Linked DNA regions of Danio rerio. The protein of the gene in region 2 interacts with the protein of the main gene of each other region in a biochemical or structural test. Links are inferred from orthologs where the notes say so. Each region holds a gene or a part of one and is shown on either strand. Other genes may lie near its edges.

What was found.
Region 1: the proteins of ccnd1 (region 2) and cdk6 form a complex in vitro, tested with the Homo sapiens proteins (3 studies listed by BioGRID and IntAct, with this or other methods). The link is inferred for Danio rerio from reciprocal best matches to the Homo sapiens genes CCND1 and CDK6.

What each region holds. Positions count from the first base shown.
Region 1 is NC_133194.1:42,888,876-42,893,343, forward strand, and holds part of cdk6 (cyclin-dependent kinase 6), read left to right. Parts: intron 1-3,038; coding exon 3,039-3,174; intron 3,175-4,468. UniProt on the Homo sapiens protein: Serine/threonine-protein kinase involved in the control of the cell cycle and differentiation; promotes G1/S transition. Phosphorylates pRB/RB1 and NPM1.
Region 2 is NC_133182.1:69,632,336-69,636,903, reverse strand, and holds the start of ccnd1 (G1/S-specific cyclin-D1), read left to right. Parts: upstream 1-1,944; 5' UTR 1,945-2,223; coding exon 2,224-2,421; intron 2,422-3,818; coding exon 3,819-4,034; intron 4,035-4,405; coding exon 4,406-4,565; intron 4,566-4,568. UniProt on the Homo sapiens protein: Regulatory component of the cyclin D1-CDK4 (DC) complex that phosphorylates and inhibits members of the retinoblastoma (RB) protein family including RB1 and regulates the cell-cycle during G(1)/S transition.

The sequences.
Region 1 (4,468 bases), on a different chromosome or scaffold from region 2:
TTTTTTTCCTGGGAGTCTTGCGTATTTTAGACCCATCTCCCACCCCTCTCCCGTATTATTCTGTCTCCGAGAAAACTCGGATTTCCTCAGCTTTTTGGTACAGTCCCCATGTGCGCCGAACCCAACACGCAACCGTCTTCATACCCGCTCTCCGCTCTACGTCGTAGTGCATCATGGGATAGCGTAGTATGCATCAGATGCACACTTCAGATTCTCGCCGGAAGTAGTTTGTTGTCTAGGTACTTCTCGTATACTGTTTTTCGAATTCTATGAATTCAGACATACTGCCTGGCTCACATACTGTTTTTAGCGTAATATATAGTATGGAAGTATCAGTTTCGGACACAGTCAAAATATTTACTCAGCTGTTATTTTATCACCCTCTCTAGTCTATATTCTTTCTTGCATTTGCAACTTTATAACTTAATGCTAATTGCAGCAAAGTCTGTCCTTTAAAACAGGGGTTCCTAAACTGTTCAGCCCGCGACCCCCAAAGTGACAATGCCAGTGACTCGCGACCCCCATTCTCTGAAGTGGTTATAAATACAGAAACCTTGCATGCAATGGCGCACACACACACACCAAAAGACCCAAGTCTATTCTTCGCTTATTTTTTTTTAATGTATGTGAGTTCTGTAAATGGGCCAGAAAGTTTAACCTGTTATAAAATCAATCTGCTGCATCTGACGCTATTGCTGTGTCTTTAATGTAATTTAATTACCCCAGGGGTCGCAATCCAATAGAACTAGTTACTAAAAGCTACCTTTTTTTTCTCTTCAGTAGGTTATAGATACAATATGGTCATTCTTATAGTTTAATATTCACCAGGTGACCCCCCCCCACCCCCACCCCCTCCTTCAATTTCCAGTGATTCCTCTGTGGGTCCCAACCCCCACTTTGAGAACCACTGTTTTAAAAAAGCATAAAAAAATTGCTGCAACAATTTTAAAGAGCTGAAATTAATGAAGCTCAAAGCGTGTTTTGTCTTAACACATGCGCAGGGACGAAAACATTTTCAGTCATTTCAAAGTGGACGAACAACTTTTTAGGAAACAATTGAGAACGATTGTGTGGACGTGGAATGTTTTTGACACAACACTTTTAATTGCACATTATATTGTAAAATCTGCCTAAACTAAGCCCCTGATATACTCATTTATACTCGCTCTTTGTTTAGGGGTAAAAATGCGTTTGAAATGCGTATGCCGCAGTATACTGCAAGTGACATTTGTATAAATAGGTAAAATATGTGTTGTCAATAACAAATTAAACAAACAATATGAATGGCAGCAGTGAGAAAACAGCCGTTAAGAAAGCATCTGATTATCGAATTTGATGTTGTCACATTTGTTATATGTAATTCTTTATAGAATTGACTACTCCGATACAAGCAGCTTTTCAGCTTAAAAAAATCAGTTATAGTGGTCCCTCGCTAAAATGCGGTTCACCTTTTGTGGATTTTTTTTGTGCATTTTGATATGCTTTTTTCTACATCACATTGTGTTCTGCGTCCTGACTGGCATAAATCTTCGATCGCTAGCAGTGTGACACAGAAGTGTTGTACTTTGTTTGCAAGTTTTCTCCCCACAATGTTGACAAAACATTCTGCAATGTCAAAGGCACCCAAAGGCAGAGGAACGCTAAGGGAAGGTAGAAGTTACGCGGCTGTAGGGCGCCATTACGATCAACTTGATATTTGGTTTCATTTTACAATACTGGATTTATTTTTCTTCAAAAGTTTGAACTTTGAGAGTGAGAGTTTAAATGAGAGATAAGTGTGGAAATCCTAATGCCTGTCTGAGAAAAGTGTATAAAGTGTGTAGTGAGGGGTTTTACAGCCTTAAAACATCTAAAATAATTGTAAAAATAATAAAGCTGACTACTTCGGCGATTTCTCCAACTGCGAGATATTTTTAGAATGCATCTGCCAGGAATAAGGAGGGACAACTCTACTTAAAAGTTAGTAACATCGTATGTTTTTATAATAATGCGCATATTTACCTTATTTAAGTTAACTGGTTTATACACTTTTTAAAGTAAAGTCAACTAATCTCTTTCTACGATGTGGAATTAAGCATAAAAATAGTAACAGTAAACCTTAAATAATCAGCTTTTACCAGTAGAAGTCTAAAGGTGTTTACTTGTAAGAGCATTGCTCTGTAATGGCTTGTTTCCACGGACTGGTACGGTTCGGGTCGGTACAGGTCACCTTTATCAGGCTTGCGTTTCCATTACCAAGGGTGGGTGTGGGGTATGACTGAGAGTTTCAGTTGACATAATTTTCGCTTGAGAAAATGTCTACAGTAAAGCCATACGGGTTATTCACATATCATATGAGAAGCGCTTCTCACAAAACAGATGCTTTATACACACAAATACTTGTGTATAAATGTTTATTACTAATTTTTCTATGAACAGGATTTGATTATTACTGCAGATCAATGACAGTGCGAAATAGCCTACTGTAACGTCTGCAATTTTATAAAATAAATAAATAAATGCAACATATATGAACACATACAGACCCTTACAATCTCTGATATGTTACCAACTACAGAAGAAGTACATACAGCAGACATTTAGTCCTTAATTAGGTTAAAAACAACACAAAATATAGCCTACGGTCAATGAAAACCTCTCATCTGTGTCCGTAATCTTTAGCAGCACATAAAGCCTCCTGTTAGAGAGTAATTCCATCATTCTGAGTTCATATTAGCTTCACCTTTTGGTACCCTTTCTCTGTGTTTGGTACCCTTTTGAAAGGGTGCCAAAAAAGTGGTACGGTTAGGTACACCTTTGACAGTGGAAGCGGCCATAAAAGTGTATCGAACCGTACCGTATCACTCAGTGGAAACGGGCCATAAAGCTAGTTCAAACTCCAACCTAACTTTGTTTAAAAAGTGATCTTTAGTTTTTTCAGAAGTCTTTTGGGCCCTTAAATCACACATGAACTTGTCAAAACTCATGTTAAATACTTAACAGACGTGACTCACACAGCTTTTAATGAAAGTGCTCTTGATTGTCTTTCCCTCATCCAGGTTGTTTGACGTATGCACAGTTTCCAGGACTGACCGGGAAACCAAACTAACTTTGGTCTTCGAACATGTGGACCAGGATCTAACTACATATTTGGAGAAAGCACCTGATCCGGGAGTGCCACCTGAAACCATAAAGGTACCATCACACCAGCATATTCATCTCAGCACTTAAAATAAAGCTGTAAAGCAATGACTTTAGCCCACAGCATTTATAGTTCAAGGTCAATGTGAAATCAAATTAAGCACTGTTTACTTTTTAAAATGTATATTTACTATAAATCCTATTTATTATTATTTTATTATATATTTTATAAATATTCGGTCCTCCCATCAACAAATCCATTCTTACATTAAACATACCCATATAGACATGAGTTAAATAATGTGTTTGGCATGCAATACATACCACACAGTCCTGTTTATATAGAAATGAATGTCAGCAGCATTTTAGCTGAATGTGCAGTCATCCCATCTAATCTCTGCTGGAGGAGCTCAGGTAACACCTTCTGTAACAGTGCTCACTATCAGGTGAAGAAAAGCTGAATTGTCACATTTTCCTGATGGTTTGGAAGAGGCGACCAAATGAGCCGTTTCAAAGCTGCTGTGCTCTTTATAAAAGTGACAGTGTAAAATGCCACACGTTCGCAAATAACAAGCTATTTTGCGCAGATATTTACTTTCTACATCTACTTTCTATAAGTTTATATTTGGGCATTCCCTTTTAACATCAAATTACAGAATTAATATAAAATTAAAAGAACTTTTATTTTGAAAATAGGCTAATTTGACAAGTCTCCTAGAGTTAGGCTGTTGAGTTTTACTATTTTTGAATTCATTCAGCCAATCTCCGCGTCTGGCTGGAACACTTCTAGCTTAGCTTAGCTTAGCATAGATCATTGAATCAAACCCTTAGCATTAAAAATGCTCAAAAATGAGAGAGGGATCTGGATGCAGACCTGGTGCAGTGCAATCTGAGACTGCATCCAATGCTTTTTAATGGGCTCACCTAACCCCACCTCTAACCCTACCCGTCACAGTGACGCCAATGCGCTCCATTTGAGTGCATTGTGTCTGACATTGCATCGCTGTTTGATGCAATCTTAGCTTGCATCATAAAGGCTGCATCCAGATACTATTGAAAAATAAGCAAAGAGTTTCAGTAATTTTCTTATTCAATGCTTGTCTCTTCTGTATTTACATCGTGTACTAAGGCTTACGATTTCATATTGACGGAAGTTCGCTGATTTTCAAGAAAATTCATAAATTCATAGGAAAATTATCAAAACTCTTTGGTAATTTTTTAGCAAAATGCTAATGGTTTAATCTGATTCAGTGAACTATCCTAGCAGGCACAAGATGTCAACATGACGTCAGATTGGCGTCGTACCCCAATGTCGTGGGGTCGTTGTCTTTTATTTGGATATGAAAAT
Region 2 (4,568 bases):
TCAGCCTTCTAAAGGACTACATTTATCCTAACATGAACTCGTTCAGCTAATTTTATAATGGACATAATGAAACGTGAAAGAAAACGCATAAAAAGTCTTTGTCTTTTATGCAAAGAAAAAGAAAGTTCATAAAAGAATTATTTTCTTTCAAATGCCATTTCTTATAGACGTTTAAAATAATGGTAAGTAATACAGTGTCATATAATAGCCTGATATATTATTAAAGTAATCTAATAAAGTAATTTTTGATCTTATAATGAACAGCCTAAACTACTGTTTGCTATTAAATTAATTAATATATTTGCCTAATATTTAAAGAGCATTGTTGATATGTCTATATGTAAAATGACGTGTGGGGGAAAAAAACTTAAATCAGTGGAACATTTAAAGTTTTTCTTGTATTCTAGTTTCTCTCTGCAACTCGTTTTGGTCTTTGTCTTTTCTGTAAAAAAAAAAAAAAAATACAAAATTCCATTATATGCATGTTCTTATAGAGGTTTAAAGTAATAGTAAATAATACAGTAGCCTAATAACAGTTGCTATTATAGCCTAAGATAATATTATACTATGCTAATAAAATAACTTTTGATCTTAGAATGAACGTACTAGCCTGTTTGCTACTAAATATATAATAAATAAATAAATATATATATATATATATATATATATATATATATATACACAGAGTGTTGTTGATATGCTTATGTAAATGACTTGTGAGAACACTTAAATCCATGTAACATTTAAAGTTGTTCCTTTACTCTAGCTTATTTCTGCAACTCTAAAGTTTTTTGTCTTTGTCTTTTCTGTAAAAATAAAAGTTATATTTTTTCTTTAATATGCATGTTCTCAAAAAGGTTTAAAGTAATAGAACTTAATACAGTAACTTAGCTGCTATTATAGCATAATAAGCTTATAATACATTTATTAACATTTAAAGTTGTTACTTTATTGTAGCTTCTTTCTGCAGCTGAAGTTTTGGGCACAGGCAAATTACTTGTTTTACGGTATTGAAGTGGAATGTGCGGAATTTGTAAAGCTTCAATTCATCCTGAAGCGACAGCAGTGAGGTCTTTTAAAGTGAGAGCGCCCCTGTTTGATCAAACTCTATCAAACAATTTGTGTTGTTAAAGCTGCAGATGTCGTGTTTAAACTTTACCGGTGAGCTAATGTTTTCTTTTAACGCGGTTTGTTTCCGAGTCTAAATATTATAACTACTTTATTGTTTGTATTATTTTATTATTTGAAATATTTAATGTTTTGGTGTACAAAGAGAAAAAAAAAAGTTAAATGAGATTTAAGGAAATGTATTATTAAATACGACAAGAAGAATGCTTCACATGATTAATTTTAACAATTTATTTTGTTTATTTAACATTTCCACGAGGAGTTTTTTTTTAGATAAAAGCTCGTGCCGCAGTTCTGCCTGGCAACTGACGTGCTCCTCCATTGGTTTAGGCTAATTTGTGCTTCCTTCTTTAAGTCTAACCCCCCAAAAAGAAACAAAAAAATAAAACAAGCCTCCACCCAAGACCACACATTTGTTTCATATATAGCCTACTGAAACCACATTCAAGTTTGTGCAGAAACTTAGCTATATGAAACTTCATAAAGTAATCCAAAATCTTTTAAAAACATTTTAAAAGCCTGATTTTAAAAGCAGACAAGTGACTGTGACCAAATTTATTTTACAAATAAAACTTTTGATATATGCTTGTACAATTACAGTGACAAAAGTTTTTCAATGCGACAGTGTGGGCACCTTGATTTAGGCTATTATACTGCCCCCTACCAATACTAACCCAATACACATCTTCACCCCAGTCTTTTCCACCCCCGATACCCACGACACTAGCAGCCTGCCCCCTGCGCCCCCACCCCGGCCCAGCCTACCCCCACCACCGCTTCTCCTTGGTCACTCGTCACCCGGCGTAGGACCTCCTATTTCCATAGGGCTAAAGAAAGGAGCCAAAACTGAGAAGCAGATAGTTCTTTAGATTGATCCTCCGCCCTGAGCAGACAGCCTCTCGCTCTCTCACAGGCTCGCTGCTGCTGCTTTGATCTTCCCTTAACAACAGTCACGTCATAGGGGAGTTTTGTCAAGCGGAGAGCTGCAGCGAGACTTTTAGAGGGTTCAGCAGAGGCAGCAAAAAGCATCCACGGGACCAGTGTCCGACTCGAGCTCCAGCTTTCTTACTTTTCTCACTGCTAAACACTGAAGATATGGAGCACCAGTTGTTTTGCTGCGAAGTGGATACCATAAGAAGAGCTTACCAAGACAGCAACCTGTTGAATGACCGAGTTTTACAGACAATGCTTAAAGCTGAGGAAAACTATCTCCCATCACCAAATTATTTCAAGTGTGTTCAGAAAGAAATTGTGCCTAAAATGAGGAAAATCGTCGCGACGTGGATGCTCGAGGTTTGTTTTGGATAATATATTTATATATCTCTTTTTTTTTGCATTTGCTGCTACACACGTTGCCTCACGATGATTCTACTCTTGCTCTTTGGACTCCAAGAAGTATTTATTAAATGAAAAAAAATGCTTTAGTGTGACTTGGGTTCATCGGCATTGCTTATCCATCCCAGAAATATCACACAGAAACACGCTGTCCGATTATTGTTGCTTATTTTTTACGTAAAAATGTTTTATTACGAAATATTAATCCGACACGAGACGTTTTCCGTGCTTTCCGCTTTAGCCTTTTTATTTAGGGTTGTTATTTTTTCATGCATGCGTTTCGTTTCTTATAAATATTTTAAAATATAGATACATTTATTTATTTTTATTTTATTTTAATACCAATGTACACGTATGCATTCTCACTCGTGCCAGTAGCCTATTATACGCCATCTTTGTTGTCGTTTGCTTAAGTTTTTTATTTCTCTAAATTCTAAAATGGAAACATAATTGACATCACCTGCATAAAAGCGCTCACAAGTTGTCTTTTAAATCACAGGTATAACATAAATCAAATTTTTGCAAGAAAACGTAATATTTGTGTCTTAAAAGTTTTGTTTCAGTTTGTCATACCTCCTGCACGACGGTCTAAAAATATTGTATTATTTCATTTCTGAATTCAACATCGTGTTATAACCTATCGGATTATGTTAACCCTCTAATAATGTGGATTTACAGATGTTTAACAGTAGATTTAATGCTAAGGAATAATTTATATTAATTTATGAAACACCCGCTTCACCTAAATGTCGCATGCTTCCCTTTGTATGATGGGGCTTTGGATTTCAGTTCATTTCACGTAGTTTTTGTCATTGCAATCGAAATATTTTTGCATAATCTAATAAAGCATGAGTTACAGTACATTTACATGTGTTTAAAGTCAAGCAAAACAATTTTCGTATATTTTTAAATATTTTTTGAAAAGATGACGAACTAGAAAATTGTTTCCTGAACCGAGCTCAGACGCCACCTTTTTGCCTCGAAAGCAACGACCATTAGCATCAGAAGCAAATTGTAACATTTATACTTTGTGCAACACTTAGGATTAAACTTAAATTACTGATTAAATACTATTTTTAAGCATTTCCACGTGTCTTTTTTTTCTAATTTAACCCTTTCCACTGCACGTGTACGAATCAGCAGATGCTAAACACGTGGGATAACTCGATAAGATCAAAGCATACTGTAGCTTAAAAAATATTTGCACTTCGTTTATTTAATAAATTTCTATGAATAGTTTTTATTTTTATTTTTTATTTTTTTTTATTTATATATTTCTACACGTTTAATTAAAAGAATTAGCTGCTGTTGTGACTTAATATTTATTTATCGTATGCACTTTCTTTTCTTTAAAGGTCTGTGAAGAGCAGAAATGTGAAGAGGAAGTTTTTCCTTTGGCTATGAACTACCTGGACAGGTTTTTATCTGTGGAGCCCACCAAAAAAACCAGGTTGCAGCTTTTAGGAGCAACTTGTATGTTTCTGGCTTCAAAAATGAAAGAGACTGTGCCACTTACAGCAGAGAAGTTGTGCATATACACGGACAACTCTGTCCGTCCCGGCGAATTATTGGTAAATGTTTAATACTCTTTAATTTAGCAGCTTGATATTGTTTTCTTTTTTTTTTTTTTTTTGTGCTGAATTAAAGTAAAATAATGCAATTGAAGGTCATTTTGCTCAAAGACCTATACGTTAAGGTATTGCATGAAACAACGAGCTAAATGAGTTTATCAAAGTGTTAAGGCACCCACAGATATCTGTAAATAACAGTACATGTTACAAATTGTTGGTGCTTTTGATGTGTGCGTTAATTGAACGTAGGCCTTGCGTTATTGTGCAATTAATCGACATCTCCATCTAGCGTTCAAAGAGTGTAAAATCTGAAATGGAAAAATCGTCTGGGGCTTTATGTAAACTTGGACCATTTTATATCTCCCTCGCAGCAAATGGAACTGCTGGCGCTAAATAAACTGAAGTGGGATCTGGCCTCAGTGACACCACATGATTTCATTGAACACTTCCTTGCCAAACTGCCTATACATCAGAGCTCCAAGCAGATACTGCGCAAACACGCCCAGACCTTTGTGGCCCTCTGTGCGACAGGTA